Linked DNA regions of Cricetulus griseus. The protein of the gene in region 1 interacts with the protein of each later gene in a biochemical or structural test. Links are inferred from orthologs where the notes say so. Each region holds a gene or a part of one and is shown in the gene's direction. Other genes may lie near its edges. The genes, in order: Lcat and Apoa1.

Region 1 (4,601 bases):
ACAAAAAACCTCACCCATTCCACCTGAACTAGAACCAATCAGTGCCCATTTCCCAGAGGCAGGGTGGTCATGTTAGACCCAGTCAGGCCCCCATTTTCCCAGGGTATCAAGGATACACCCTCTGATTGTCCTCAGGCCCAGCTGGTCAAAGACAGGCACTCAGCCCTGCGGCTAGAGAGCCTTTACTCAGATGAGGAGGATGAGGCTGCAGCAGGGGCTGACAGGATCCAGATGACATGGACCAGAGACAAGTACATGCCTGAGCCCTGGGACCCTAGCCATGCCCCCGACAACTTCCGGGAGCTGGTGCACATTAAGCCGTGAGTACAAATGACGTTGAGGAGGAGTGGGAACAGGCAAACTGTGCAGATGAGCCAAGGACAGAGACCTCTTTGCTAGTTAGTTCTCAGTAGCCTGTGATCAGTTGCTTTGTCTGCAGGGATCAGTCCAATGTACGGCGCATGCACACTGCTGTGAAGCTCAATGAAGTCATTGTCACACGCTCCCATGATGCCCGCCTAGTCCTACTGAACATGCCTGGTCCCCCTAAGAACAGTGAGGGTGATGAGAACTGTATCCTTTTGTGTAAAGGCTGACAGTAGGGAGCTATCCTCTCCTTGAGTGTCCCTGGGTGGCTGGGAAGCAGTAGACTTGGTCCAGTCGCTGCCTCCTTGACCTGATACCCTACAGACATGGAATTCCTTGAAGTGCTGACTGAGGGCCTTGAACGAGTGTTGTTGGTGCGTGGAGGTGGCCGTGAAGTCATCACCATCTATTCCTGAGCCCAGTGGAGTCTCGTGGCCTGGAGTTGGGGTGTCTAGGACAACAGTCCCTACCCCTACACCTACTTGCCAGTTCTGCTTTGCCCAGCCTTGCTTTGGACCAGTTTTGCTAGGTCTCCTGGGAAACCAAGCTTGGACCTGGCAATTTAAATGGATCCGAGGGCCCATGGAGCCTGGGGGATATAGGGATTTTCACCCATACCCCAGTGTAGGCTTATCCTGACTAGAGAAGACTGGTGAGGGTTAATATGGGATTTGAAGTCCCAGTCTGGCCCAGGAGCGCTATTTATTGTATATTTATTGTTTGGATGTCATCATCAGAGAAGAGGGGAGGGATACTAAGAGGGGGAACTGAGCTGGGCCTGCCTGCAGGAAGACCTGGCTCAGGCTGCTGTGGGCAGAGACTCTCATCAAGCCAAGTGGAATGGAGCTGGCCAAGTTGAGCCTGACTTTTTTCAATAAAACATTGTGTATTTCTGGGCGTCCTGCTGCCCCAGCTCTTTTTCCCCTGGCGCCAAGGGAAGAAAGAACTGAACCCAAATCCATAGCCAGATCCCTAAGGCTATGCCCCTTCCTGGCCACCCCCATTGGTGGTTCTGTCCCTCCCACTGGCCCTGGGGCCCCTCCCATCCTCAGTCTAGATAAGACCAGCCTAGGACTGCCTCATCTGGCAGTAGGCACTGGGCTGGAATGGGGCTGCCTGGCTCCCCATGGCAGTGGGTGCTGCTGCTGTTGGGGCTGCTGCTCCCTCCTGCCACCCCCTTCTGGCTCCTCAATGTGCTCTTCCCCCCGCAAACCACGCCCAAGGCTGAACTCAGTAACCACACAAGGCCTGTCATCCTCGGTAAGCCCCCACTAGGCCCCTGATGCATCAAGCAAGACTTTGGGGAGCCTGGGTCTTAGCCCCTGACAGCAGCAGATGCTGTCAAAATTCTTCTGCCCCACCATTAGTGGGTCTTAGCCCCCTCATACCTGTGGGGAAGGGGCAAAGCCTAGTTCTACAGAGATACCACCCCTCTCCCCTTCACACTGTTCTATGTCTAAGTTGTCTTCAGGGGCTTAGGGTTGGGGTGGTGGTCAGTAAATGGGATGTGGTTTGCCTGACCGTAGCCAGGGCACCTCAAACTATGGCCAGCTCCAGATACACTGGATACTAGGTTAAGCCCCACTACTTCCTTGGCTTCTACTTTACCAAGAAGGAGATACCCAGTCCAGTGCCAGATAGCACAAGAGGTCCATAAATGCCTCCCTCCCGTTCTAGGCCCAGCCCATGTTCCCTCGTACCTATTTGTTCTCTCCTTGGACTTTGGCAATAATGGAAAGCCAAGCTGGATGTTTGTTTTGTGGGGGCAGGGGTCAGCGGCTTGGTTCCTGCACCTTCCCTGCCTAAAGGGAGCCTGGATGTTGCAGTACTGGTGGGGCAGTAGGAAGTGTGGTGGAGAGAAGATAGATATGGTTAGAGGGTGTGGGAAATGGAGGGGTGGGCGTTTTTTGGTGGTAGGGTGGGGGGTTGGAGAGAAGCCAAGAAGTCCAGAACAAAAGCTGGTGCCCACAGTGCCTGGCTGCCTGGGGAATCGGCTGGAAGCTAAGCTGGATAAACCAGATGTGGTGAACTGGTTGTGCTACCGCAAGACAGAGGACTTCTTCACCATCTGGCTGGATCTCAATATGTTTCTACCCCTTGGGGTGGACTGCTGGATTGATAATACCAGGTATGTTCCATGTGCCCTACCCATCCTCTACACATTTCCCCTGGTTACTGGTTGCTAAATGTTCCACTGTCCCCAGGGTTGTCTACAACCGCAGCTCTGGGCACGTGTCCAATGCTCCTGGTGTACAGATCCGTGTCCCTGGCTTTGGCAAGACCTACTCTGTTGAGTACTTAGATGACAACAAGCTAGCAGGTGTGTCTACTCAGGGAAAGGAAGGGGCTCTTGGCCATCAGGCTGGCATACAGGTATGATGGACAGAGATCCCTATATTGCTGCCTCCCCACAGGTTACATGCACACACTGGTACAGAATCTGGTTAACAATGGGTATGTGCGGGATGAGACAGTGCGGGCCGCACCCTATGACTGGCGTCTGGAACCCAGTGAGTGTTTACAGGTGGTGGGCTGGGGGCATGACAGGTGGTCCCAGACTCTCATTGCTCTGACCTATCTGCCCATCTTCAGGCCAGCAGGATGAATACTACCGGAAGCTGGCAGGACTGGTAGAGGAGATGTATGCTGCTTATGGGAAGCCTGTCTTCCTTATTGGGCACAGCCTTGGCTGCCTACATGTGCTCTACTTCTTACTGCGTCAGCCTCAGTCCTGGAAGGACCGCTTCATTGATGGTTTTATCTCTCTTGGGGCTCCTTGGGGTGGCTCTATCAAGCCCATGCTGGTCATGGCCTCAGGTGAGGATCCTCTTGATCACTGTCATCCTGGGCAGGGTGAGGGTGGGATGAAACAGATCACAGAGCTGGCTGTCACTCCAGCTGTGCTCAGTGTCCCCAGGGAAATTTTCTGTTCACTAGCTCCTTGAAGACAGCCATTAGGATGTCTCCTTGTAGAGTCTTTTAGTGATGATAAGGGAGGTGATAGAGGAGGCCAATCCAAGTAGTCTGTCAGCCCCAGATTTACTCTTTGTAGGCCCAGATCCTGTATACTCTGGCTTTTAGTTACTTTTCACTCCCCGGAGCACCATGCCCAGAAATCTGTTTTATTGAGGACATATCTACCGCAGCAGGGCCAAACCTAGGGATCCTTTATGCTCTTTTTCTTTTTTGGGGGGTGGCTTCCCTAGGAACCCAACACTAATATAGCCACCATTCACTGATCCCCATTTTCTACTGGGCACAGAAAGACCCAGCCTTCATTGTTAACATCCTCACCAGACTACACCACTGAATCTAAAACAGACACCGTCTAAACCTCCAAAAATACAATCTTGTGACTACTGTGCAGCATAGGCCCTTCACAGGACATTACACACACACACTTCCCAGATCTCTCTCTTTTTTTGGTTTTCCAAGACAGGGTTTCTCTGTATTGCTTTGGAGCCTGTCTTGGAACTCTCTCTGTAGACCAGGCTGACCTCTGCCTCCTGTGTGCTGGGATTAAAGGCTTTCCGCCATCAACGCCCCAGCTGATCTCATTAACTGCTCCTCTTCCAGTACATACCATTTGAGGCCCTATAGCTCTGTCTTACAGAAATATCAACATAGCCTCTTATACAAACATTGAGCACTTAACACCAGGCCTGTTCCAGTCTGTGTCTTGGAATCAAGGTCAGGATGGGGCAGGACAAGTTTTTTGTTGTTGTTGTTTTGTTTTTTGAGACAGGGTTGCTCTGTGGCTTTGGAGCCTGTCCTGGAACTAGCTCTTGTAGACCAGGCTGGTCTCGAACTCACAGAGATCCACCTACCTCTGCCTCCTGTGTGCTGGGATTAAAGGCGTGAGCCACTACCCACCGCCTGGCAGGACAAAGTTTAAGTGCTTCACTGAGGCAAATAGGGAGCCAGGCCCAGCTCCCTGTCCCACCTGGTTCTGTATCCACAGGTGACAACCAGGGCATCCCATTCATGTCCAGCATCAAGCTGAGAGAGGAGCAACGAATAACCACGACCTCCCCCTGGATGTTTCCAGCCCGCCAAGTATGGCCTGAAGACCATGTATTCATTTCCACACCAAACTTCAATTACACAGGCCAAGACTTCAAACGTTTTTTTGAGGATCTTCATTTTGAAGACGGATGGTACATGTGGCTACAGTCACGTGACCTGCTGGCAGGCCTCCCAGCACCTGGTGTAGAAGTATACTGTCTGTATGGTGT
Region 2 (3,758 bases), on another chromosome or scaffold:
ACACTTTTCTTCCTTCCTTCCTTCCTTCCTTCCTTCCTTCCTTTCTTTCTTTCTTTCTTTCTTTCTTTCTTTCTCTTTCTCCTTTTTTTTGAGACAGGATTTCTCTGTGTAACAGTCTTAGTTATCCTGGAACTTGATTGTAGACCAAGTTGGCCCCGAACTCAGAGAGATCAACCTGCCCCTGCCTCCTGAGTGCTGGGATGAAAGGTGTGCGACACTGTCATCCAGCTATACACACACTTTTTGTTTTGTTTTTGTTTTAGTTTGTTTTTTGTTTTGGTTTGGTCTGGGTTTTTTTTTTTGTTTGTTTGTATGTTTTTGGTTTTTTGTTTTTCAAGACAGAATTTATTTCTCTGTGTAACAGCCCTGGCTGTCCTGGAACTCACTTTGTAGACGAGGCTGGCCTCAAACTCACTGAGATCCACCTGCCTCTGCCTCCCAAGTGCTAAGATTAAAGGCATGTGCCACCACTGCCTGGCCTCACACACATTTTAAAGCTAGGCTTGGTGCCATATTCTAGCGCTTGGAAGGATGTAGTTTGATGTTTTGAGTAGGAGGTAGGCTTAAGCTACACAGAAAGACCTTGGCTCCAAAAGGAAGAAAGGGACGGGGGAGGGATGGAAGGAGGAGAAGGAAGGAGCTGACAACTCCATATTGGCCTCATGTCTTCTGAAGTGTCAAAGGGGTCTTCATCCTCAGCCTGGGCCCCTGAGCCCCTCTGCATTTCACCCAGGCAAGTTCCTGGTGCCTCAGCTGTTCTTGGATTTAGGGATGGGAGGCCTATCAGGCATGTGGCATCTGGAGATAGGCATACGCTACCTGGGGAACCAGGATCAACTTCTTGTAATGCAAGAAAACTTTGGGGCAGGATGTGAATGTAGGAGCCCGAAGTTCCCTACCCCAACCCAACTCCAGGCTCAGAGGACAATTGCAACACATAGGAATACAGGAAGGAGGATGGTGCAGCAGTCATAACTGTGGAGACCCCCTGAGTCTGCAGCCACTCCCCTGCTTCCTCCACCTGAACCCTTGATCCCAGCTCTGCAGCCCCCGCAGCTTCCTGTTTGCCCACTCTGTTTGTCCAGCCCCAGGAACACAGCTGATCCTTGAACTCTAAGTTCCACATCGTCAGGACAAGTAAGCAGAGACAGGGCCAGGGTTGGGCTTATCAGCCTTCCCTCCCGGCCCCTGCCTACAAACATAAATAGGCCAGGGAAGAAGAGCTGGGCACTCAGAGACTGTTGGAGAACTCCAGGGAGGTAAGTGCTGCTACCTGCCCTAGGCTACTCTGGCTCCCTAGTGCCTCACCCACTCTGTGGGTTTCTGGGACCTTTTCCCACTCTAGATGCTTCTTCCACTGGCTTAAAGGTGGGGTGCAAGTGTGGGGCTTCTCTATGACAGAACCCCCCTGCAGCTCAGCAATTCTATTTCTTCAGGTCACCCATGCGGTTCAGGATGAAAGCTGTGGTGCTGGCCGTGGCTGTGCTCTTCCTGACCGGTAGGTGCCTCCAACCCAGGGAGGCAACAATATTGGTGCAGTGGGCTTCTGCTTAGGCCTCCATGGCCTACCTTCCTGGGCACAGAGAACAGAATTCTCTCTGGTCTCCTTCCCAATTCCAAGTCTGACACTGCAGCTCAGACCTCAGCCCAGAGCTGGCCTGACATGTGTCTCCCCTCCATCCCCAGGGAGCCAGGCTCGGCACTTCTGGCAGCAAGATGATCCCCAGACCCCATGGGACAGAGTGAAGGATTTCGCCACTGTGTATGTGGACGCAGTGAAAGACAGCGGCAGAGAATATGTATCTCAATTTGAAACTTCCGTCTTGGGAAAACAGATGAAGTAAGGAAGAAGCCAACCTGGGGCCTGGAGCAGGGCAAGGGTTGTCTATCCAGGGTGGGCAAAGAGGCCTGTGAGAAGATGATGTAACTGAACTAGCCAAATCTTCACCTGCTATCCTACCTTTGGGCACCATGGCAGGGTCCAATGGAGGAATAGGGATGGGACTCACCTGGGTGGTGGGTAACCACAACCCTTCTTTCTGCCTGTGAGTGCAAAAATCTCTTCCCCTGGGTTACCTCTAGTACTGGTCAGCCAGCACAGAAAGGGAACTGGCCTGGCAACAGGCACCAACCCCATCTTTGTCCTTGGTACCTCAGGCCTGGTATACTGAGGAATGTGGAAGGCGGGAAGAGTGTTAGAGGGGTGCGTATTTGGGGGAAACTAGGAACATAGCAACTGCACGTTCGGAGATAGGTGGCACCCAGGACTGCACCAATACCTGGGGCAGTGCAGGATGCCTGAGGCTATCTCTCAGCTGCTCTCTCCTCCTTCAGCCTGAATCTCCTGGAGAACTGGGACACCCTGGGCTCAACGGTTGGTCGCCTGCAGGAACAGCTGGGCCCAGTGACTCAGGAGTTCTGGGATAACCTGGAAAAGGACACAGATTGGCTGAGGCAGGAGATGAACAAGGACCTGGAGGAGGTGAAGGCGAAGGTGCAGCCCTATCTGGACCAATTCCAGAGCAAGTGGCAGGAGGAAGTGGCTCTCTACCGCCAGAAGGTGGAGCCTCTGGGCGCGGAGCTGCGCGATGGCGCGCGCCAGAAGCTGCAGGAACTGCAGGAGAAGCTGACCCCTCTGGGTGAGGATCTTCGTGACCGCATGCGCAAACACGTTGATACTCTGCGCACAAAGCTGACTCCCTACAGCGACCAGATGCGCGAGCGCCTGGCTGAGCGCCTGGCCCAACTCAAGGACAGCCCCACCCTGGCTGAGTACCACACCAAGGCCACCGGCCATCTGAAGGCGCTCGGGGAGAAGGCCAAACCCGCTCTGGAGGACCTGCGCCAGGGCCTGATGCCCGTGTTTGAGAGCTTTAAGGCCAGATTAATGAGTATGATCGATGAAGCCAGCAAGAAGCTGAATGCCCAGTGAGGCGCCCATCTCCACACCCCACCCCTGCATTGGCTTTCTTAGAATAAACTTTTCCAAAGTGGGATGGCTTCTTTCTTTGGGGGACCATAGGGAGAACACTAAAGGGACATCCAGGTTCTTGGGAACTTGGTGCTGCAGTGGGGATTCCTTCATACAGGACTCAGCTCTCCAAGCTCACTCAAGCCTGGCGCATGGCTGGTTAGGAGTGTGAGACAGAATCCCTGTCCTAAGAAGGCTCAGAGGGAAATAGATGGCCAGGCAAAGCAACAGGGAGCCCCTTGAAAAGTACTCCACAGAGGCTCAAACCACTAGTTCTGTAGCCCAGATTGGGAGTGGCTGGGAAAAGAACTGCCTTTAAGAGGACAGGTTTCCTGTGCCTGAAGTGTTTCCAGGTGGGGTTCACCTGGGCAGAGGTTGCAAGCATCTTCCACTCTCTAGAGCCAGGATCCCTCAAGGATTCAGAGACTCGAATTGTTGCCCTAATTGTGCTAATAAAATGCCTGGAGCTTAACATTCTCTCTTTCACAAACCCCAAACCCCTCAGCAAACAATTCTCTTTTTCTCTCGGCAAGATTCCCACGCAGTCATCTCCCCACCCAAAAACTGGCCTACTGTGAAAGACAGCTGTCACAGTGGCTGTAGTCAGTCTACCTGCCAGTTGGGCAAAAAACACTTTGTGATGCTGATTTCCACATTTATTAGAGAGGCCTTCCTATCCATCTCCAAATCACGAATGATGGCCATTATGTCTATGTTAGCCTGGGAAGCTGATGTGAAGTTAGTGAAGGGAAGGTGGGACAGGATGTGTTGTTCTTTAAAAAAAAAA

What was found.
Region 2: the proteins of Lcat (region 1) and Apoa1 form a complex in vitro, tested with the Homo sapiens proteins (6 studies listed by BioGRID and IntAct, with this or other methods). The link is inferred for Cricetulus griseus from reciprocal best matches to the Homo sapiens genes LCAT and APOA1.

The regions. Positions count from the first base shown.
Region 1 is NC_048596.1:182,228,725-182,233,325, reverse strand, and holds the start of Lcat (phosphatidylcholine-sterol acyltransferase), read left to right. Parts: upstream 1-1,626; 5' UTR 1,627-2,114; coding exon 2,115-2,494; intron 2,495-2,570; coding exon 2,571-2,686; intron 2,687-2,780; coding exon 2,781-2,876; intron 2,877-2,958; coding exon 2,959-3,183; intron 3,184-4,327; coding exon 4,328-4,601. UniProt on the Homo sapiens protein: Central enzyme in the extracellular metabolism of plasma lipoproteins.
Region 2 is NC_048597.1:157,966,596-157,970,353, forward strand, and holds Apoa1 (apolipoprotein A-I), read left to right. Parts: upstream 1-1,313; 5' UTR 1,314-1,443; coding exon 1,444-1,498; intron 1,499-1,686; coding exon 1,687-1,840; intron 1,841-2,334; coding exon 2,335-2,932; 3' UTR 2,933-2,993; downstream 2,994-3,758. UniProt on the Homo sapiens protein: Participates in the reverse transport of cholesterol from tissues to the liver for excretion by promoting cholesterol efflux from tissues and by acting as a cofactor for the lecithin cholesterol acyltransferase (LCAT).